3 linked regions of the Rhinolophus ferrumequinum genome follow. The protein of the gene in region 1 interacts with the protein of each later gene in a pairwise test. Links are inferred from orthologs where the notes say so. Each region holds a gene or a part of one and is shown in the gene's direction. Other genes may lie near its edges.

What was found.
Region 2: the proteins of RBM10 (region 1) and CPSF7 interact in binary tests that used the Homo sapiens proteins (3 or more experiments, as listed by UniProt). The two-hybrid records come from large-scale screens. The link is inferred for Rhinolophus ferrumequinum from reciprocal best matches to the Homo sapiens genes RBM10 and CPSF7.
Region 3: the proteins of RBM10 (region 1) and RBM12B interact in a two-hybrid assay, tested with the Homo sapiens proteins (3 studies listed by BioGRID). The link is inferred for Rhinolophus ferrumequinum from reciprocal best matches to the Homo sapiens genes RBM10 and RBM12B.

What each region holds. Positions count from the first base shown.
Region 1 is NC_046284.1:86,743,160-86,750,557, reverse strand, and holds the start of RBM10 (RNA-binding protein 10), read left to right. Parts: upstream 1-4,338; 5' UTR 4,339-4,651; coding exon 4,652-4,721; intron 4,722-6,553; coding exon 6,554-6,695; intron 6,696-7,398. Other genes in the region: NDUFB11 (NADH dehydrogenase [ubiquinone] 1 beta subcomplex subunit 11, mitochondrial), read right to left, coding at 1,688-1,814, 1,986-2,116, 3,660-3,866. UniProt on the Homo sapiens protein: Binds to ssRNA containing the consensus sequence 5'-AGGUAA-3'. May be involved in post-transcriptional processing, most probably in mRNA splicing. Binds to RNA homopolymers, with a preference for poly(G) and poly(U) and little for poly(A).
Region 2 is NC_046294.1:9,493,698-9,501,476, forward strand, and holds the start of CPSF7 (cleavage and polyadenylation specificity factor subunit 7), read left to right. Parts: upstream 1-4,758; 5' UTR 4,759-4,882; exon of another isoform or gene 4,883-4,994; intron 4,995-5,083; coding exon of another isoform or gene 5,084-5,265; intron 5,266-5,267; coding exon of another isoform or gene 5,268-5,394; intron 5,395-5,395; coding exon of another isoform or gene 5,396-5,431; exon of another isoform or gene 5,432-5,467; intron 5,468-5,485; 5' UTR 5,486-5,540; coding exon 5,541-5,594; intron 5,595-7,779.
Region 3 is NC_046297.1:34,817,870-34,825,346, reverse strand, and holds the start of RBM12B (RNA-binding protein 12B), read left to right. Parts: upstream 1-4,378; 5' UTR 4,379-4,421; coding exon 4,422-4,462; intron 4,463-6,569; coding exon 6,570-7,477.

The sequences.
Region 1 (7,398 bases):
TATAAGAATGTTTACAGAATTATTCGTTTCTTTTTAATATATATTTTTAAATTTTATTGGGTAACTGTGTATTTTCCAGGAACTCCGAGTCAAGTCATTGTCCTTCAATCCAGTTGTGGAGGGCGCAGCTCAGCTCCAGTCCAGTCGTCGTTTTCAACCTAGTTGCAGGGGGCGCAGCCCACCATCCCATGCGGGAATTGAACTGGTGACCTTGTTGTTAAGAGCTCACGTTCCAACCGAGCCATCCGGCTGCCCACTGGCAGCTCAGTGGCAGCTCGTTGTCTTCAATCTAGTTGTGGAGGGCGCAGCTCACCGGCCCATGTGGGAATCGAACTGGCAACCCTGTTAAGAGCTCGCGCTCTAACCAACTGAGCCATCCGGCCGCCCAGAAGAATTATTCTTAATAGCCCCAAACAGAAAACTACCGAAATGCCCATCAACATTGGAACAAATGAAGTGTGATCTGTTCATACAATGGAAAAGAGCACAGCTATGAGGATGGACAAACCACTGATCACGTAAGAACGTGGACCTGTCTCATACCACCAAGCTGAATGAAAGAAGCCAGGTACTAAGTGAAATGAGTCAGACTGAGAAAGACTAATACCATATGCTCTCACTTATATGTGGAATCTAAAGAACAGAATAAACGAGCAAACGAAACAGAAATAGACTCAGAGATACAGAGGAAAACCTGATGGTTGCTAGATGGGAGGGAGTAGGGATGGGGGAGAAGCTGAAGGGATTAGGAAGTACAGACTGGTAGTCAGAAAATAGTCACGGGGATGTGAAATACAGTGTGGGGAATGTAGTCAGGAATGTTGTAAAGATCATGTAAGGTGCCAGATGGGCACTGGACTTACCATGGGGGTCACGTCATAGACATGTAGATGCCTGACCAATGCGCTATACACCTGAAGCTGAACTAGAATAATACTGAATGTCAACTAGAACTAACTATATAGGTATATATAGTCACGGGATGTGAAGTACAACATAGGGAAGATACTAGATGGTATTGTAACAGCTACGTACGGTGTCAGACGGGTAGTCGATTGGGGAGGATTATCACTTTGTGGGGTGTAAATGTCTAACTATTGCATTGTTTTGCACACCTGAAACTAATAAAAAAATATATTTAAAAAAGTCAGGTACAAAAATGTATGGATGCACTCGTATGAAGTTTCAAACCAGACGAAACTAACCTATGTTGTTACAAGTCGAGAGAGGGGTTACCCTTGCGGTAGGGAGGGTGGACCTGAAGGGAGCTTTCCAGAGAGGCCACCTGGAAGAAGACTGAAGTGCCAGGCATGAGTGAAGACGCCGTCTTGGATGTCCATCCCAGTAGAGCTTTCAGATGACTCAGTACCAGCCACTGTCTGACCTCAAGAACCACTTAGCTGAGCACAGTCAATCACAGGACCATGAAAGATGACACTAAATTGTCATATTAAGCCACTAAGTTTTCGGGTATTTGTTACACAGCAATAGATAATTGGAACACCCAGAAAAGGTGGTGGTGGCCCTTTTAAGGCCTGACACCCCCACTCCCACATCCCCAGTACAACAAAATCAACACCAGCCAATCAGACTTTCAGTCCCTTTAATTAGGTGCTCTGAGGAGAAGGCAGAATGGCAGGCAGGGGGTGGAGGAGGTGGTGTTTCTTGAGCCCCACTCAGCAACCAGTCAGTCCTCATCCTCCGGCAGCTGGATCTTGCTGGGGTCAAAGCAGTTGGATTCCATGATGGGGAGACCATTGGCCTCTCGGTATTTCACAAGCCTCTCAGCTTCCCGGCGGGCCCACTCCTGCATCCTGGAGGCAGCAGCGTGCGAGGGAGACATGAGGGAGCCTCACTGGACACCAATCCCCACCTTAGCTCCCCATTCCTCAATGGGGTAGGACAGGATTCCTGGCAGAATCCCCTTCAACCTCCACCCCTGCCTCTGCCCACACCCATCCCATTCTCTTAGACACCCCATGGACCTGTAGTCAGGCAGATAAGCCACAAAGGTGCTGCCAAGGACCAAGACGATGGAGAAGCCAAAGAAGAAGACGACGCGCATGTTCCAGACGTCCACAACAGGATCCTTGTCGTAGCCATGGGAGTCTGGGTTCTGCGGAAGGAGAAATCATTGAGGTTTCCTGCTGCTCCACAAAGCCTTATGCTGGCCCTGTATAAGCTGGCTTCTAATTGGACCAATCTCCTCTCCATCCCTAAATTCCTCTCATTCTGTTCTTGGGACTTGTCAAGCCCTTCCCACCACAGGACCTTTGCACTAGTTGTTCCCTCTGCCTGGAAAGCCTTTCCCCCCAGATTTCATGGCTGGATCTGCCTCTTCATTCCAAGTTTTGGCTTCATCATCACTTCCTTTAGGAGGCATTCCCTAGTCACCTTGTCTATTAAGTTGAACTATGGGAAATTGCCATTTTCATAGGTCAAAAATGGTTGAATATTGGCAATTTCCTATGGTTCAACCTAATAAAATTACTCCCTAACCCCAAGTCACTCTCAATCCACTTATCTTGCTTAACATTCTTTCTAGCATTTATTAGTTTATCAAAGTAGCATGCTCCTAGATCGCCTGTATCACATTATGTTATATGATCCATTACATACTCTACATTACTATTGTCAAATATTTTACATATTTATTTTCTGTGTTCTCCACTATCATATAAGAGCAAGGGCTTTATATGATTTCCACGCTGCTGAACCCCTAGGGCCCTGAACTGTGCCTGGCACGCAGGAGGCCCTCAATACATATTTACAGAATGAATGAATGAATGAGTATCCTATATATCCAAGCCCCTCAATCAGAGGTTAGTATCGATGAATTACCTCTTATGTGCCAGGCCTTTTCACATATACAAACTTCACAATATCCCAGTGAGATGGAAAGTGGCAATAATAAACACCTTCTAATGCTGAGTACTTACTAAGTGCCAGATGCTGTTCGGAGCATTTTAACTCATTTAATTACACAAGGCAGGTGTAATATTTTATTTTTTTAGAAGGTGTCCTAATACTTTGCCCATTTTACAAAGAAACTGAGGCACCAAGGGGTTAAGTTACTTGCCCAAGGTCACTCAGGTGAGTAACTGCCAGTGCCTGTATTCTAGCCCAGGTATTCTGATTTCAGAGGCTCTGCTATCAAGAGAGCACAACAGACGTGGTAGATCCAAGTTCAAATACCGGTTCTGACACACATTCAGTTATGCGAACTTGGGCAAGCCACTCCCCATCTCTGTGCTTCAATTTTCTCGTCTGTTCAATGGGTTTAGTAAGAGTACCTACTTCGAAATAGGGTTGTTTTGAGGATTTAGATGAATTAATGTATGTCAAGTGTTTAGAACACTGACACCAAAAAAAGTCGTACCAGTGTTTAGTATTATTATTATACTGTATTGCTTCTAAGTGTTTTGAGCACTGCCCATTTCAGGTTTGGTACTTGTTTGCAACATAAGGCCAATCTAATCTCTGGCCCTGAACAGAAGATATCACCAGACAAAGGAGGAAAAGAAACTAGGCAAAATTCCCAAGTCTTCAAGGATTTCACCAGCTGCACAATCCTCAGCCGCCTAGCAACGTCCTCTATGGCGCCCCATCCGCTGGTCCCCGACTGACCCTTTTGGCGTCCCGTTTCCCCTCCCTCTCACCTTCTCATAGAGGTTTTCGTCCTCTACATCTGGGTCCTCCTGCCAGCGCATAGTAGGTTCTGGTGCCCGCTTTCCCACCACAGCGGACGGGGCGATCACAGCCCTGGAGGAGCTGGATTCCCAGCGAAGCCAAGCAGCCGGGCGCCCTCGCGTCGCGGCTGCTGCCAAAAGGCGGCGAGCGCACAAACCTAACAGCCCAGCCGCCATGACAGGTGGTTCTGCAGGCTCTCAGGGGCGGGGACGGAAGTGCGACTCTGCGCAGCTGCAGTTGACCCCAGCGCGATAGTTGTCGCTCTGCCCCCACCGCACTAAATAGGCCCCGAGTCTGGATTTTTTTCAAGCGAGTGAGGCGCTGAGCAGCCCTCTTTGTCTCCCTCTGTCATGGCCTTAAGGGAGCAACCATTTTCCAATCCTCTCGATGGAGCTATGGCAGTTCTGCCTGAGTGGTCAGCTCCTACCCTTGCTGAGAAGAAAGCAGTGACATTTGGGTGGATGCAGTTCCCAGCCAAACGCACAGGAACTTCCCTTGCCCTCTTGGAGAAGAGGCGGAGCTTCCGTTTGTCTTTCATCTTCGAAGGAAGCCAAGCTTCTAAAAAGCGGGCCTCGCCAGATTGGCCAATAGCTACTCCTTTTCTCGACTTGTGGGCGTTCGCACAGGGAATGGGGAGGTAGCAGATGCTGGCCAATCAGAGCGGGTCGGGGCTGGCCGATGGCATACGGTGACCAATAGACGCGACCAGCCTGAGCGCGCTCCCTCGGTAGGTGGATGGTGGTCGAAGCGCCGGTTCCCTGCTCTTGGTCGCCATTTTGTGCTGCTGATTGCGGCCGACGGGGAGTAGGTGGCAGTTAGTTTTCCGGGGAGGGCAGTGCGATTGGCGCTTCTCCCCTCCTCCCTCCCCCGCCTTTCAGTTTCCAGCCTCGGACTTGGTTGTCGCGCGGACCGGCTCCAGCTGAGTTGGGAGGGTTGGTGGCGGTGGCAGCGGGCCGAGGTGATGTCAGGGAGCCCTCCCTTGACAGCCCGGGCCGAAAAGGTGAGCGTCGACGCTGGTCGTGGGGGCGGAGGTAAGGGGCTGGGGGCGGGGGGTGGTGCGTAGAAGAGGAGAGAGGGCGGACTGCGGGCTGCAACTGAGGGATGCGTGCACTGTCTGAGCCCGGGATGGGTTGTCTTTTTAAAAAAAATTTTCCCCCTTTTGAGAGCCGTGGCGCGTGCGCGATCGGGACACTGGATAGGTGCACGCGGGTTGGGGGAAGGGAGGGACGGATGGGAGTGGGATACTGTGGCTTACTGTGCCTGAGACACCGAATTTTATCCGTGGGGAGGCGAGTGTCTGCGGCTATGGTTTTTATCCACAGGAGAGGGGCTGTGCTGTCTGTTCTGTGTGACTTTGTTACTTTCCTGTTCGTGGGGGTGTTCTGTGGCTCGGGTCCTTAGTCTTGGAAGGAGGAGTAAGAACGTTTGTATGACCCTGGTCTTTATCCTTGGAGTGTGTGTCTAACTCTGGTCCCTATCCATGGGGAGAGGTCCTTATCCATAGGGAGTCTTCTTGCGACTGGCCCTAACCGACTTAACTGGGTAGGGAGGGAATGCAAGGAATGTGTATGACTTATTGCCCGTTCTTTGGGAAGGGGGTTCCTATCTGTGATTCTGACGTTCATCTATTGAAAAGGGGCTTCGGGGTGTGTTTATGACCCATACTTATTGTGGGTTCCTGTCTGTGATTTTGGCCCAGAGTTATTTGGGGCGCGTGTCTGTGACTTTGGTCCCTATCTGTTGTGGATACCAATGTGTGACTGGCCCCTTTGCCAGAGTCTACTGAGGGTTTTGTATCAGCTGTTATCCGCTGGGGCCCCTGGTTGTTCTAACTCTTACCCATCTGGGAGCAGGTAACTCTGGTTCCCTGTAGCTTGAGGAGGAAGAGAAAATTGGTGTGTGTGTATAAACGGAGGAAAGGTGTGGTGGTAACTTAGTGTGGGGCAGATGCTGTTGTTGCCTGGCCTTGCCTGATTCCTGTTCAGAGGGCGAGACCTGAGGATTCTGGGATACTGTGTGGCGACCCCTGGCCAAGTCATGTGGCTTGGGAATTCCTTAGTTCTCATGGTAGCCCTGAGGGTTAGGTGAAATGACTGCCCTTGCATCCCAACGGAATAGGACAATGGTTTGGAAAAGCCTCTGAAAGGGCTCCTTTTGCTCTGGGGAGAAAGCTGCCTTGGGACCTGGCTGCTCATAAGAGACAGGGTTCAGGGCTGAGCCAGTTGCCGTGTGAGGCCCAAAGCTGTGTTGGCCAGGAGCCCAGGGAGGCGGCAGCTGTCTCATTGCCAAGTTAGCCCCTTCACCCCCTAAGCCTTTCATGGTCTCCTGCTGTCTTATAGGGGGCAGCCAGCATCTTGTTGGGAGGATGAAATCACACCTTGGGGGTCCATGGAAGGAGACTGGTGGGTGCCTGGGACCCTTTTATGAAGTCTTTCCTCTATGCCTAATGTGCCCAATCTGGAACAAGTCATTCAGCACCGAGAACTCCCCCTGGGCAGGTAGCTCCGGGCTTGAACTTGTCTACCAGTTTCAGATGGCAACGCCCTGATCACAGAATGGGTGGCACCACCAGTTCTCTCTGCAAGATGCTCCCTGTCTGCTGAAGGCCTTGCTCTTTCTATTAGGGCAGTGGACTCTAATCTCACATTTGTATGGGAAGGAAAGGAGCTGGCCAAGTACTGGGGGGGTGGGCGGGGGGGGGAGGAGCAGCTGCCTTCCCACTCTGGTCCTCAGGAGCACTAGGAATTGGGAAACAACGTCCTCAGGCTAAGGGACAGCAGAGAGCCTTAACAAGGAGCGTTTCTCAAGGAGGCCCTCTCTGCCCCAACTGCTTTGACCCCTTTTTTCCTTCCTCTCTCCCCAGAGTCCCTGCAGGAGGCATCACCCAGGCTGGCAGATCATGGTGGCAGCTGTGGGGGTGGCTGGGAAGTGAAACGGAGCCAGCGGCTGAGGAGGGGCCCCAGCAGCCCCCGAAGGCCCTATCAGGATATGGAGTATGAAAGACGGTGAGTTACCCACTCCCACCCCCCTCAAGCAGCCGAGGCTTGTCCCCATCTCAGAACTGCTCCAGGAGGGTGCTAGGAAAGGGCTTCCAGGCAGAGCGAACAGTGCAGTAGATGATTGGTTTCTTTTCAGCAGACATTTACTTGGCACCTGTTGTGAGCCAGGACCTGTGTGCTAGGCTCTCGGAGAGCTGTGATGAAGGGGACAGATAAGATTGCAGCCTTCTCCTTACTCAGGGTCTCACAAGGCGGGCCACACAGTTTACAGGTGATTCCAAAACAGCTGGATGGGTGCCACGGCTGGTTGTGAGAGTGGGAAAGGATTAAAGAGAAAGGGGAGAATAGAGGCTGATGCCCAGGTTTCCAATTTGGGGGACCCTGGTAGGTATATGGTGCCATTCACCAAGGTCCAGACAGCTACTGCAAGAGGAGAGGCAGAGACGGGTAGTGGGTTGTAAGTGCCTGTGGATTCTCAGGAGAGGTGTGCACTATAGCTTTGGGTTTAAGGGATGGAAGGGAGTGGTACCTTCAGAGTTAGGAATTTGCCAGGCCAAGTGTGGGGCAAGCCAGGTCAGATAGTGGGAGATTTCAGGGGCAGGATGGGCTGAAGTGGGCGTGATGCTTGTCTTGGAATGGGACACTCTTGAGCACTTATTTTTAAATTCTGGTCGAACAAGAAACAGTTGGGACACTGGATAAAATACAG
Region 2 (7,779 bases), on another chromosome or scaffold:
TTCTTTTCTTGAGAAACTGAACAGCTGATTCTAAAACTACAAAATTCCTAGAACAAAATAGAAAAAAATCTTTGTGACTTTAGATCAGGCAACTTCTTAGATACAATCCCAAAAGCACAATCCACTACCACATTTTATAGTTGGAACCTACAGAATGGCTTCTACTTTATCATACAGATATTGAGTGGAAACACAAAAACAGAAGACCCAGAGTGTGACAGAAATAATGAGCTATCCCCTACTATCCATTCTCTCATTTTTCCTTAATAACAGAATCTTCAATTTAGACACCTAGAATAGACTATATTATTTCTTCTTTATGGTGAGGTGTAGCCATGTGACTAAACCGTAGCTAGTGGGAAATGAGTGGAAGTATGATGTTTAACTTCCTGAGAAGGATCCATAAAGAATAGGGTGTGCTTTTCTATACACTTTTTTCTTGGCTGAAATATGGATATGGCAGATGGGGCTTTAGCAGACATCTTGGACCAGGAGTTGGACGACACATGCTGAGGATGAAGGAGCAGCAAGGTTTTTGAAACCCCTCTATATGCCTACCCTGGACTTCTATTATGAGAAAGAGAAATACAGTTTTGTCTTGCTTAAGCCATTATTGTCTTAGATTTTTTTGTTACTCACAGCCAAAGCTAATGCTAACTATACACAGTGAATATTCATTCCTCAAAGGCAGTGTCAGAATGAGACTACTGAAGAACTCTTGCTCTGCAGACTATAGAGCTGTCTATAACGGGTTCCACTCTATTCCCAGCCTAGTTTTTCTTCAACCTTCTCTCCGAGACTGTGAGCTTCCCGTACAATTTCAGTAAATTCCCTTTTTGCTCAAGTTACACAGAATAGGTTTCTCTTGCTTGCAAACAAAGAACCTTAATAAAACAAATTTTGCACACTTTGTAAAAATTTGATGAGTGTTTGGGTTAAGGGTCTATTGTATTAATAAAAGAAAAAAATTGCCTAGAATATAATTTTAGACTCAAAATAGGCCCAAGTCATCCTACTTTTCCCATTATGCTGCTTATCATGCCCAGTACCTGTAGCCCAGTAGTAAATATCCCAGTCATTGCTAGGCTCATTAATCAGGCGATCGTAGAGGTTCAGCTGTTTCTCTGTCATGTGGTGCAGATATTCTTTAGCAAAGAGGCTAAAAACAAGAAAGAGAAAGAAGTTGAAATGCTGTCTCTAGTCAAAGAGAAGTGACACCAACACCCCTGTCCCCTACCTAAGCAGAATGCAGTTTTCCAGCATTCCCCTCTTTCTGCTCTCATAGAGCAGGCGGGCTCTTTTGGTTTCTATGGATTCATCAGTTCGCTCCTGCCATGGAGGCAAAGGGATTTCAATCATATCTTTTTGGGAATCTGTTGGGCTGTCACCTCTGCAGAAGTGTCTGAATGATGTCATGCTGAGCAAAGGAGACACTGGGTGGCGCCTGGACAGAGCAAGCATCTGAAACAAAGCACAAACATCTTTTTAACAACAACAAATAACATTTGTCATTCACTCAACACATTAGATGCTAAATACATTCAATCTCATTTAGTCTGTAAGAACTTATGCTGATACTGACTCCACCCTACAGTTTAGGAAGTTGAAGCTCAGGGAAGTTAAAAAACTTGTCATCCAAATAGTAACTGCAGTTAGGATCGAAACCGAGCTATAATTACAAACGTGTTCTTAATCAGTGCCCTTCCAGAAATTATCCAGCAGAAATATTTTCTCTTTCCTTTGCAGTCCCTTAAAATTTTTACAGTATGGTTTGTATTCTAGTCACTAGCCTGTGTCAAAATCTGAGCATACAGTGATGGCATGGATCCTAATCCCCCAAGGACTCCTAGAGAAAGTCAAAAACTATCAAGATGTGATGAGAAGGTGGTGATATAAGCAAGATGACAGAGCAGGAAGCACCACATTCTCCTTCACCCACAGAGACACCAACTCCACAACAATATACTCGGGACACTATAGAAGCCTGGGGGCTGAGAACAGAGCTGGAAGGCTTGTGGCACCTTGAGAACCTGCAGTAGTACAGACACCAGAAGGAGTAAGAACTTATGAGCTCCCGACAAAAGAAGCCAGCAAATTCCTCTAATTAGGAATTGACATGCACAAATCCAGAGAAGACATATCTACTCGAAAGTATTGGGAAGCCCCCAGAATCTCTAGCAGGGCTGCCTGGTGATGGTCTTTCTTTGAATAAAGCCAGTCCAAAAAAACTAGGAGAGTTGGCTGTTTTATCAAATGCGTGGATCCCAACAAAAAATTGTACAGGACACAAAGAAACAAGGAAACATGGCCTAATCAAAGGAACAAAACAAATCTCCAGAAATCGACCCTAAAGAAACAGAGGTATATGAATTACCTGACAAAGAATTCAAAATAACTGCCATCAAGATGTTCAATGAGGTCAGAAAAACAATGCATGAACAAAATGAAAATATCAATAAAGATAAATATTAAAAAGAACCCAATGGAAAATGTAGAACTGAAGGATACAATAACTGAATTTAAAAATTCACTATCGGGGTTAAACAGCAGACTTGATCAAGCAGAAGAAAGAATGAGTGAACTCTAAGACAAGTCATTTGAAATTACCCATCAGAAGAAAGAAAAGAAAAAATAATGAAAAACAGTGAATACACCCAAGAGACTTATGGGACATCATCAAGCGTACACTACACACATTATGGGAGTCCCAGAAGAAGAGAGAGAAAGGAGCAGAAAGCTCATTTGAAGAAATAATGGACCAAAACTTCCCAAATCCAGGGAAATGAATGGACATTAAAATTCAAGAAGCCCAAAGGACCTAAAGCATATTAGACAGTAACACAAAAGCATATAAAAGCATAAAGCTCACTGGTAAAGGTAAATATGACAAATACAGAATATCGTAATATTGTAACAATGGTGCATAAATCACTTTTAATTCTGGTATAGAAGTTAAAACACAAAGACTTTTTTTAAAGACCTATAAAATATGTTAATGGATACACAATATAAAAATATGCAATTGTGACATCAATAACATAAAGTGAGAAGGAGTAAAAGAGCAGAGTTTTTGTATGAGATTGAAGTTAAACTGTTATCAGCTTAAAATAGTTATTATGTTGTATGTAAGCCCCACAGTAACCACAAAGGAAATACCTATACAAGATACACAATAGAAAGTCAGAAAGGAATCAAAGTATGCTTCTACCAAAAAAAAAAAAAAAAATCAACGAAACACCAAAGATGATATCAAGGGAGGAAAAGAGGGACACAGGCTCCAAGACATGAAGGAAATATTTAACAAAATGGCAACAGTAAGTCCTTTCCTACCAGTAATTATTTTAAATGTAAATATATTAAACTCCCCAACCAAAATAGAGAGTGACTCAATAGACAAAAAAAAAAAACAAAAAAACAAACAACAAAAAAAACAAGACTCAAGTATATGCTGTTAAAAGAGACTCACTTGAGATGTAAGGCAACACATAAGTTGAAAGTGAAAGAATGAAAAAAAGATATTCCATGCAAATGGTAACCAAAAGTGAGCAGAGGCCTCTACTCATATCAGGCTTTCAATCAAAAACTGTTACAAGAGATAAAGAAGGATATTATGTAATAATAAAAGGGTCAATCCACCAGGAAGATATAACAATTATAAATATACATGTAACCAATATCAGAGCACCCAAATATATGAAGCAAACACTGACAGAACTGAAGAAAGAAATAGCAACACAATAATAGATTTCAATGCCCCACTTTCAATAATGGATAGAACATCCAGACAGAAGATCAGTAAGTAAATAGAGAACTTGAACAACACTACAGATCCAATGAACCAAACAGATATATACAGAACATTCCACCCAACAGCAGCGAGAATATACATTATTCTCAAGCACACTGTGAACATCCTCCAGGATAGATCACGTTAGGTTATAAAACAAGTTTAAGAATATTGAAATTGTATGAGATCTTTTCTGACTACAACGGAATGAAAACTAGAAATCAACAGCAGAAGGCAAATTGGAAAATTCACAAATATGTGAAAATAAAACAACACGCTCTCAAACAACCAATGGTTCAAATGAACCAAAGAAGAAATCAAAAGGGAAATTAGAAAATATCTTGAGACAATAGACACAACATGCAAAATAGCATGAGAAGCAGCAAAAAGCAATAGTAAGAAAAGTTTACAGTGGTAAACACCTACATTTAAGAAAAAAGGAAAAGAAAGAAAGATCTTATGATGCGATGTGAACTCACGATAGGTATTAGAGAAGATTTAAGAGGAAGCTGACTTAAAATCAGACAGAAGAGGCGCCCAGAGGCGGTGGGGCCAGCTTCACCCGGGAAACAGGTGAAATCCGTATTGGGTCTTACAGGAAGACTGATCGTTCCACGATACCACAATACAGGCAGCTAGTGGGTTCCGGAAAAGGGTGACAGCGACTTGAATCTCCTAATTTGCAAGCTCGACCTCTCCTTGGGTCTGTCCTTGCCTTAGGCTGTCAGGCAGTTGGACCTCTCCTCGCGGTCTCCAGGACTGCGGAAGAAGAAGAGACTCAGTTCCCACTGTGGCCCGCCCAGGACCCTACGACATGCATTCTCACCCGTGCCAGAGCCGGGAATACGATGGCCACTGCCATTTTTCCTGACCTGTACCGGAAGCCTGCGGCCCAGCCACTTCCGGGACCTCCCGGACGCCGACCCTGCGGAAGATTCGCCCTAAGCCGGAAGATGCGTGCCTGCGTAGGGCGGAAGTGGCTTTGCGTGTGACGCCAGTGGCGGGGTAGGGGGGAAGGCGGGACCTGGGGGGCCGAGAGCGGTTCGCGCGCTTCGGGCCTAGTTCGGACTCGCCGCCTCCGCCGCCATATTCCCGGTAACGGGGGCGCGCGGCCGGGGGCCGGCTGGGCCGGAAGAGGGCTCGGGGCCGGCGCTGAGGCGGGGAGGGGGTCGGTTGAGTTTGGGGCAGCCGGAGTCGGCGGGCGGAGGTTGGCGCGGGCCTTTGTGGGAGGGGGCCGAGGGCGCTGGGCCGGGTCTGTGGGGAGGGAGCGGGGCGGGCCTAGCTGGGGGCGAGGACTGGGCTTGGATGTGGAACAGGATCTCCGGGACTCGCGGGGATTCTAGCCGGGGCCGCCCCGGGGCCTAGGCAGGTGCGTTGGGCTGGGGCTGCGGGCTTCGCCTCGGGCGTTCTTAACGGCGCTGTGCGAGGGCCCCTAGGTGCAGAGGCCTGGGGTTCCCCGTCGCGCCACGGCCCCAGCGGCGTAGCTCGGGTCGGGCCCGAGGGTGATGGGCAGCGAGCCCCGCGAGCCCCGGCGGCCTGGGAGCGCGAGGGGCGGCGCGAGGCCGGGGGCGGGGCGGAGCGGGTGGGGCAGAGCTTGGGCTGCCGGGGAGGCTGCGTCTCTGGAGACGGGAGGTTGGCGACCATTGCCCTCCTTCCAACCCGGGACCTTCATGCCATCTAACTCTTGCCTCTCCGCAGTGGCATCTTTCTTACTTTGTCCGTTCTCCGGGCCCGCGATCTGCCTTCCGGAGCCATGTCAGAAGGAGTGGACTTGATTGATATATATGCCGACGAGGAGTTCAATCAGGTGAGGGGTCATCGGGAGTATTGGGGTTTTCCAGGATCAGCCAAGGAATCACTTCCAGCATACTTGCAGTGGCTCCAAGCTATGCTAGCTAGCCCTTGAGGATTTGCTAGGCCTGAACACGCCTCATCGGGTCTAAAATTGTTCCTCTAGTACAGATTTTCAAGACTTCTGACCATTCCGCTTTATGTTACTATAAGCCTCCAGGCTTAATTTTAAAGGCTTTCATTTAAGAGCAAATAAAAATCAGGTTTAATAGAATGGTGAATCAACCTGTGGAACTTGCTGCCCCAGGAAGCCAGAGTTGGATGTTTGTCTCCTCAAAAACTAACCACTTAAAAATCAGAAATACGTTTGCTGTGGTTTTCATGAAGACAAGGTTGATACCTGTTGCTTTGTGATTCTGTCAAACTGCGGCTGGAAAAATGTAGTCAGTCCCCTCTCCCATAAGATAGTGCGAAGTCACACTGTAAAAGATACTTTAACGTTTAATTTTAGCTCCATTACAATTGTTTTGCATTTTCCTTTGATAAGTAGCTTAAGTCCAGTCTCAAGCCCATAGGCATTTTGGTTTAATACATTTTATTGATGAATCTAATTGGGTGTTGTGGGGAGAAGTAAAGGTTTTGGACAAACCAGTTAAAAAGCAGGTATAGGGGTAGCTGGTTAGCTCAGTTGGTTAGAGCGTGGTGCTACTAACACCAAGGTTGCTGGTTCAATCCCCACATGGGCCACTGTGAGCTGCACCCTCCTTTAAAAAAAAAAAGCAGGGACAGACCCACTCACATACCCTGAGATGGATTTGTTGGTCCCTTTGTGTTATGTCAAGGAATATTATACAGTGATTTCCCTTGAAACAATAATCTCATATACAGTTCGATTCTGAGCTCTTGAGGTCAAATCTCAAGAATATTTCAAAGTTTCTATTTAAACTGATTAATATCTTGCCTGGATTGTTTTCAACACTGTTCTACTTGAGTAAGCTGGTTTTTCCCATTGGCATCTTTTATGGGGTACCCATAAGGGCCTGCAAAAAGGATAAAAAGAATAAAGGAGAAAAGAGCACTGTTTGGACCCTGACTTTAATCTGAGGCAACAGAGGAGGTTGAAATACATGTAATTTTTTTCACTTGGCATAAGTTTACGTTAAAAAAGATTTTTAATACGTTATGCCTTTTTAACATGGAATTTTTAAAACACATGATAATAGAGTAGTGTCAAGACCTTGTACCCATTATATACAGCTTCACCAGTTATACTTTTTTAAGTTTTTTTTTTTTTCAATTGGGGAAGGGGAACAGGACTTTATTGGGGAACAGTATGTACTTCCAGGACTTTTTTCCAAGTCAAGTTGTTGTCCTTTCAATCTTAGTTGTGGAGGGTGCCGTTCTGCTTCAAGTTGTCGTCTTTTCAGTCTTAGTTGTGGAGGGTGCAGCGCAGCCCCAGGTTCAGCTGCTGTTTCTAGTCGCCGGGGGCGCTGCCCACCATCCCCTGCGGGAGTCAAACCAGCAACCTTGTGGTTGAGAGCCTACTGGCCCATGTGGGAATCGAACCGGCAGCCTTCGGAATTAGGAGCATGGAGCTCCAACCGCCTGAGCCACCGGGCCGGCCCCACCAGTTATACTTTTTAATAGTCATTTTCCCATGTCTCTTCAGGTAAACTGGAGTCACCTACATGTGGCTGCTGATTGGTTTAAAAATAGGAAATTTTTTTATTTTTAATTTCATACAAGTCAAATAATCACTTACGGATAAAAAGAAAGGTTTAATATATTAGTTACAAACCATTGCTTTCCTCGGTTACTTTGAATCAAACTTATACTACTTTTAACAAGTTATGGTTCGTTTTTTAAATACAAGATATCGAGGAAAGAGGAAGGCTCCTTTATGGAGGAGTCAGAGTGGAGTTGGCTCTCTTCCGTTGGTTGATAACTGTGCTGCTATGTCCATGGGGAAATGGGCAGAACAAAGCCCTTAACCACAGGAATAGCTACATTTGGTCTGAGAAAATGAGATTTCATAACTTCTCTAGCATCGACAAGACACAGGCCTCGTCCCGTGGTCCCTGCTGTGTCAGTAGAAGTCATTGGCCTCAACAGTTCGTGTTCTCTGGTCACTTTTGTTAAAACGGACTTTCTAAAGGGAGGCCAAAGATGGTGTGAGAGAACTAGTGGATGTGTATACCAAA
Region 3 (7,477 bases), on another chromosome or scaffold:
GTGGAGGAAGTAACTGCAGATGTGGTGGTTATAGCATGAGAACTAGAATTAGAAGTAGAGCCTGAAGATGTGACTGAATTGCTTCAATTGCGTGATAAAAATTTAACAAATGAGAAGTTGTTTTTTTAGGGATGAGCAAAGAAAGTAGTTTATTGAGATAGAATCTACTCCTCATGAAGATGCTGTGAAGATTATTGAAATGACAACAAAGGATTTAGAATATTATATAAACGTAGTTGATAAAGCAGTGGCAGAGTTTGAGAGGATTGACTCCAATTTTGAAAGTAGTTCTGTGGGTGAAATGTTATCAAACAGCATCACATGCTATAGACAAATCATTCTTGAAAGCAAGAGTCATTCGATGCTGCCAACTTCATTATCTTATTTTAAGAAATTGCCACAGCCACCCCAACCTTTAGCAACCACCACGCTGATCCATCAGCTGCTAACAACATTGAGGATATATCCTCCACCAGCAAAACGATTATGACTCACTGAAGGCTCAGATGATGGTTAACATTCTTAGCAATAAAGTCTTTTTTAATTGAGGTATGTACTTTCTTTTAGACATAATGCTATTGCATATCTAATAGGATATAGTATAGGATATAGTATATATATAACTTTTACGTGCACTGGGGAACCAAAAAATTCATGTGACTCACTTTATTATGATATTTGCTTTATGGCAGTGTCTGGAACAGACCCCACAATATCTGAGGTATGCCTGCAGTATCCTCTGGAAGTAAATCACCAGGGTTCAATTCCTGGCTTGTACTATTTACGTAACCTTGGATAAGCTATGTAATCCTTTATGACTCAGTTTCCCTTATTTGTAAAGTAGGAAAAATAATAGTACCTACCACTAAAAGTAGTAAGAATAAGATAATGCACAGGGCCTGCCATATAATAAACCCTCAATAAATGTTAGCTTTTCAGTTTGGTTTCCTGAGCTTGCCTGGCCAGGACCAAACCCTAGACTGTGGGGAATAATCAAAGTAAATGCTACCTAATCAATGAGCCTAGTTCTACAATGTGACATCCTCTGTTTGACTATTTGAAACAAGTCACTAATATTTACACGAGTATGGTCTCAGATACATCTATATCTATATCGTCATTCAACATTTCCAGCAGTCCTAACAGGTACATTGTTATTATCTCCATTTTACAGATGAGGAAACAGGCATAGAGAAGCTAAGTAATTTGCCCAAGTGAGTAAATGATGGTTCTCACTCCAGGAACCACCTATTATTCACTTGTTAAACTACCTGTTCTTTCCTACAATCATATCATTAAAGAATGAGTATTTTGCAGTGAGAGAGGGATTGAAGACTCATTTTTTTCTCATCCGTTACTGTTTTAAAGATGGGATTTCTGTTTTCTTAGTGAGCTTTGAATCCACCTATAAATGCATAAGTAGTTATAAAAGTGGTGGGCTGCTTTGTTTTTTTGTAAGTAATAAAATAAAATCAAACACAAGGTTGTTCATCAGCTGTTACAGAACAGGCATTACAGAACATGCCTGTAACTGTGCTTTCCACTTCCCAATTTTCATGAGTGGCCTATCTGTTCTCATGTCTCAAAACACCAGAAGGTAGGAATAACAAGTTATTAATGTCTATGAAATTAAATAAGCATGCATTTATTGAGACCTCTGGGTGTTGGAATTGTATTTGGGGAATATCTAAGGTAGTAAAACTAACATTTCTGCGGCCTTTTAGAGCCAAAGTTCCTTTCAGAAGATGCTTACACCACACAAAGAAATCGCCAGCTTTTCTCTGCTGTACATCTCTTTCCTTAACTCCTGGAAATGATAAACATTTGTCCAGTATACTAAGGCAATCATTTATTGCAGCTACTCTTTACAGCAAAGGGTCGATCCCAAACTTAGTGTCGGAATCTCTCCTTTCCTTGGTGAGGCTCCCGGGTTGGCAGGACTCTGAGCATGCGCAGAAACTCAGCAAAGTCGGGGGCCAGTGGGCACCTCCTTTCCCTGACAACGGGAAGCGTTGTGAGCGTCAGGGCGCGTGCGTAAACGTGGCCCGGGCGCCGGGGTGGTGGGTTACGCCTGGAGAGCGCATGGGCAAAGTGTACGTCCGTTTGTCCGGGGCGGAGGGGAGAGTGGGCGCCATCTTCTAGGCTCTCTGAGGGCTCTCATCCTGTTCTGGGGAGGCTGCTGCGACGAGGAGAGCCACCTGCCCCTGGCCTTGTGTGCCCAACTCGGCAGCAGTGGTGTGTGTTTATTGCCAAGTGCGAATCAGTTACCCTTGGGGCGTCGGGGGTGGGGAGGAGTTGGTGACGGGGGCGGAAGAACAGGGAAAGGCGGGGCCGGCGGCCGCGCCAGGAGCTAACGTAGCTTCTCCCGTTAGGGCACCCTCGTTTCTTGCTAAACACCGACTCTTCCGCCAGCCTCCATGTGCTGTTGTGTGTTCGCTTCCCAGTTTTCTTGAGAGTGAAGATCTCGAAGGATTTCATAGGTATTTCTTTTTTTTTGCTATGTCATCGTAGTTATTGGTGGCAGGAAAGCGCTCAAGGCCCGACTCTTTGGGCTTGAGAGGGGCCAAAGGGTTTCAGTTAGATTTGGGAGCAGTTCGCCCTGTGGCTAGTTAGGGTGGAATGTTTGCCTTTGGGACGGCGTAACGGAAAGGCACGGATGTTGGGCGGTCCAGGTTAATTTGAAAGCTGATTTTGGCTGAAGGTCTGGCGACGGCATCGGATCGTACGTAGCGACTTTGGCCAGGCGTGAAAAAAGGAAGCTCTGACCCCTGGGAATCTGGACAAAGGCTTTGGGCTATAGAAGCGATGCCTTCGGATGATCTCCGTTTGAGGATGATGGATGTTATGGGAAATCCTGTGTCGTGTGGATTCGTCTTCATTTACAGTTCCTATTGGGGACTATGGCTCTTGTGTCGTCATGCCTTTGGTTTCCATTTTAACCATCTACATTATAAGAGGATTAAAGGTCATCATAAAGAATAATTGTGGACTGGGGGTAGATTATTTTCTGCAGGGGAAACTCATGCGTTTTTAGAATTTAAATGTGCTTCATCATAATTTTGGGTTTTAAGAAATATAGTCGCAGTTTTCTCTCCCTCACCATGTCTGGAAAATGAATTATTGGCTAGCTAAAATCAAATGGGTCTGAAATAATACCTATTTAAATTTAGCCTCCCTCCAGTTTCCCTCTCAGGCTTGAAAAGAGGATGCACATTTTGTACTGTTTAGTGATAAGGATCAAGTGGCATGAATCGTATAAAATTACAGCAAAATTAAAATGAGTTTATTAATTTCGGTGACTTGACGTTAAATGAGCTTTTAAGGACCCACTTCCTTCTTTTAGGTTAGAAGTTCTGATTACTGTCTTTAAGTTGACACAGTCGTGAAAAATACTTGTTGCATTCATAAGTAGAAAATTTTTAAGTGCAGAGTACTTGAGAGTATTTTGTGTTTTTGCCTTTTGTGTAATGTTGTGAGAATAGACTTTCTGGGGAATTTGCTTAAGGAAATAACATGGCAACCACAGGAGAAGTGCTCATTTTGAGCTGGTCTCTCATAGGTGGTCTCCTACCTGTGTTATTGTAGAGTGATAAATAGTACATTACCCTACTATCCAAAGGGCAAAAATATTTAATCATTAGTTATATTTAACTGTGGCAAGTTAGAAGCAATTTTTTTTTTTTTATTTAGAGTGCTTGAATTGGAATTCATGAGATTTGTACACATGGAACTACTTAGTTAAAATACTGTTTTTAAGTTAGAGAGGATAAATTACTAGAAATCTTTTGAATTTGAAACATCCCTAACTTTTCTTGTAGATGTATGTTCTTGGTAAATCCCTTTAAATTAAAAAAAACAATTTTAGAAGGGAAAAATAATGTGCACCTTACATTGCATTCTAAAATAATTTAAAAGTAAAAAAGGAGCTAAGTCAATTTGCATAGGAAGGAGTCTTGGAACTTGAATGTGGACGACTATTTCAGAAGCCATTTATAGTTTTTGTTAAAATGTTGGTGTAGATACTGGTTTGTTGAGGAAACTAGGCTTGAACTCGATTGTTTTTGGTGCTGTGCAGACTTTTTTAAAAAAATACTTTTTTAGAGCAGTTTTTTAGGTTCATAGCAATATTGAGCAGAAGATATAGAGATTTCCCATATGTCCCCTACCCCTACACATACTGTGCAAATATTTTAATAGTAAATCTCATTAATATTTTTAATATTTTAAATTACATTTTTATAGTAATAGTAAATCTCAATATTTTTAATTATCAACTTGGCATTGATAATTCAGATGTGGAATGTGCCAAGTAATTTCTTGATACCTTTGTTAGTTTAGTGTTAGTTTAGCTTGTAGTTTAAAAAATTTAATCTATGGGACTCCTTTTCAAAGGAAAATAAACCTTGTAGACCTCAAAGAATATGTCTTCAGACCCTACTTTGTGGAAGAGTGGTACTTATGTGTAAGTACTAATTTAAAACAACATTTATTTGCACATTAAAAACATAAACTTATGCAAGAGAGTTGGACATGATAATGAGTTAGGTGTTTGGTCTTCTCATAGGTGGAAATGATAGAAAGTTTTTGGGAATTTTTTGGTGTTTTTAAATTGTCGTTTTTCTTGTAGAACACTTTTTTTTTTTAAGTACATGTAAAATTTATATACAGTGAAATGCACAGATCTTAAAGATAGAATTCATTTAGCCTTGATAAATTTATACATCCACATAACCAATACTTCAATCAAAATATATAACATTTCCATCATCCCTGTCCTTGTACCATTTCCAATTAATTTAGCGGATCTTAAAAAATTACTTGGTAAGACTACATTAAATATTATTAGTTTAGGTATCTGAAAGTATTAGATGTGACTTTGCTTAAAGAAATACTGAGGTTTTTTTCAGTAGTTAATAATGATAGTCCCCACATATTCCAAGTTAATGTGTTTTTATTATGGTTTCACTTTTTTACATTGTCATTGGGTTTCCTCAGTAGAACCCAGGACAGTTGTTTGAAATGGAATAAACTTATTAGCATAAGTAGATTCTATATTTATCTGAACGTTTTCTGTTTGCCTTGAGATGAATTTTAACAGTAATCATTGTGGGAGTTTATGGAGTAGTAGTTGAGTTTAAGATAAGTAGTTGAGATTTTCGATTTTAGGGATATTTTAGTATTTGCCTTAATTATACGGGAGTCAGGAGATTTGGTTCCATGTTTGGAAGTGTGAGCTGTATATGTAGAACTTAAAATTGTATCCAGAACTTAAAATTGTATCTAGATGGTAGCCACTGTTTCGATTTTGCTTTAAAAATTGGTTTTTGAATTTTAAATATTCGTGTTTTCATTTATGTTATCATTTTGAATGGTTGCCTTTTTAATTTGATTTGGTCTTATGTTTGAAATGGAGGAGAATTGCAAGAGTTGGGCATAATAATGAGTTAGGTGTTTGGTCTTTTCATAGGTGGAAATGATAGAAAGTTTTTGGGAATTTTTTGGTGTTTTTAAATTGTCATTTTACTTATAGAACAGTTGTTTTTTTTTTTTTAAGTGGATGTAAAATTTATATACAGTGAAATGCACAGATCTTAAAGATAGAATTCATTTAGCCTTGATAAATTTATACATCCACGTAACCAGTACTCCAATCAAAATATATAACATTTCCATCATCCCTGTCCTTGTACCATTTCCAATTAATAGTTTTTTTGTTTTTAAATAATTTGTAGATGTCTACTCCGAATTTGCACCTTCATTTTGCTGAAGGATGATTCATTTCCCCTTGGAACAAAGAAGACCACTTTGTAATGCCCATAATTGTGATTGCTTATTGCTTCGCTTTTAATAGGTATAATAGGTATAATAGGTATAATTTTAAAGTGACTATCCTAACCTGGCATTGTTTAAGATCAACGAGTCTGAGGATTTTCATTTTCTTTCCACAGTTAAGTTGCTTTCACAGAATTAACAGGTCTCCAAGAAATTAAAAAGAAAAAGAAAAAGCTATACAGAGCTTAAGCCTTTTCACATAGGCTTGACAAAAAAATGTAAAGTAGAATAGTACATCTTAGGTACACATGGCTTCTGCACTCTATGTCTGGCCAGTGATGCACTAGTGGTAAGCAGTTTATTATGAACAAAAATTATATACTGACCATAGATGGCTTTTATAAATATGTAAAATTCACAGTAAAAATTTTAAATCACAAAGTTCTATCTCATGTTTCAGTAGAAGATACGTTTCTTAGTGAGTCTGAATATAGTTTGGTCTTGTGAACCAGCAGCACTTCTCAGACTTACAAAGAAGATTTGGTATTTTTCATGTTCATACTATATAGGATAGGTGATATGAAAATGTATCTTCAAAGTAGTTGGTGTGTAGAAGGGAGAAAGTTTATTCCTTTTTTTTTTTAAGAATTAGATACAATCAATATTTTTGTGAACATGTATTTTGTTTTTATTTATAAATTCTGAAGAAGGTAGGAACCAAGTAATTATTGAACTTAGTTTGGGATAAGCTTCTTCAAAAATAAGACTTGCTATTATGTGTACCTTTTTGTCTGCAGGTCATTATTGCTGTGGTTTGAGCTCAGCATGGCTGTAGTCATCCGTTTACTGGGGCTTCCTTTTGTTGCGGGGCCTGTGGATATTCGTCACTTCTTCACGGGATTGACTATTCCTGATGGAGGAGTGCATATAATTGGAGGGGAAGTTGGGGAGGCATTTATTATTTTTGCAACAGATGAAGATGCAAGACGTGCCATAAGTCGTTCAGGAGGGTTTATCAAGGATTCATCTGTAGAGCTCTTTCTTAGCAGTAAGGCAGAAATGCAGAAGACTATTGAAATGAAAAGAACTGACCGCATAGGAAGAGAGCGACCAGGATTTGGGGCATCAGGGGTTGGATGCTTATCTAATTTTGTTGAGGGTTTTAAAGAAGAAGCAAGTAATTCTGGATATGGCTCTCCGATTAATCAAGATGCTGGGTTTCATACTAATGGTACAGGACATGGTGAGTTAAGGCCAAGAAAGACACGGCCATTGAAGGCAGAGAATCCTTATTTGTTTCTACGAGGTTTGCCTTACTTAGTAAATGAAGATGATGTACGTGTCTTTTTCTCTGGTTTGTGTGTGGATGGAGTAATTTTTTTAAAACATCATGATGGCCGAAATAATGGTGATGCCATAGTAAAATTTGCTTCATGTATTGATGCTTCAGGAGGTCTTAAGTGTCACAGAAGTTTTATGGGTTCAAGATTCATAGAAGTAATGCAAGGCTCAGAACAGCAGTGGATTGAGTTTGGTGGTAGTACAGTTGAGGGTGACATTCCTATGAGAATCGAAGAACATTCTCCACCAAGAGGAACAAATGATAGACATTTTCAAAAACAATCTCATTCAAAATCTCCCAGAAGAACACGTTCTCGTTCCCCTCTCGGATTTTATGTTCACCTAAAAAATCTGTCCCTAAGTA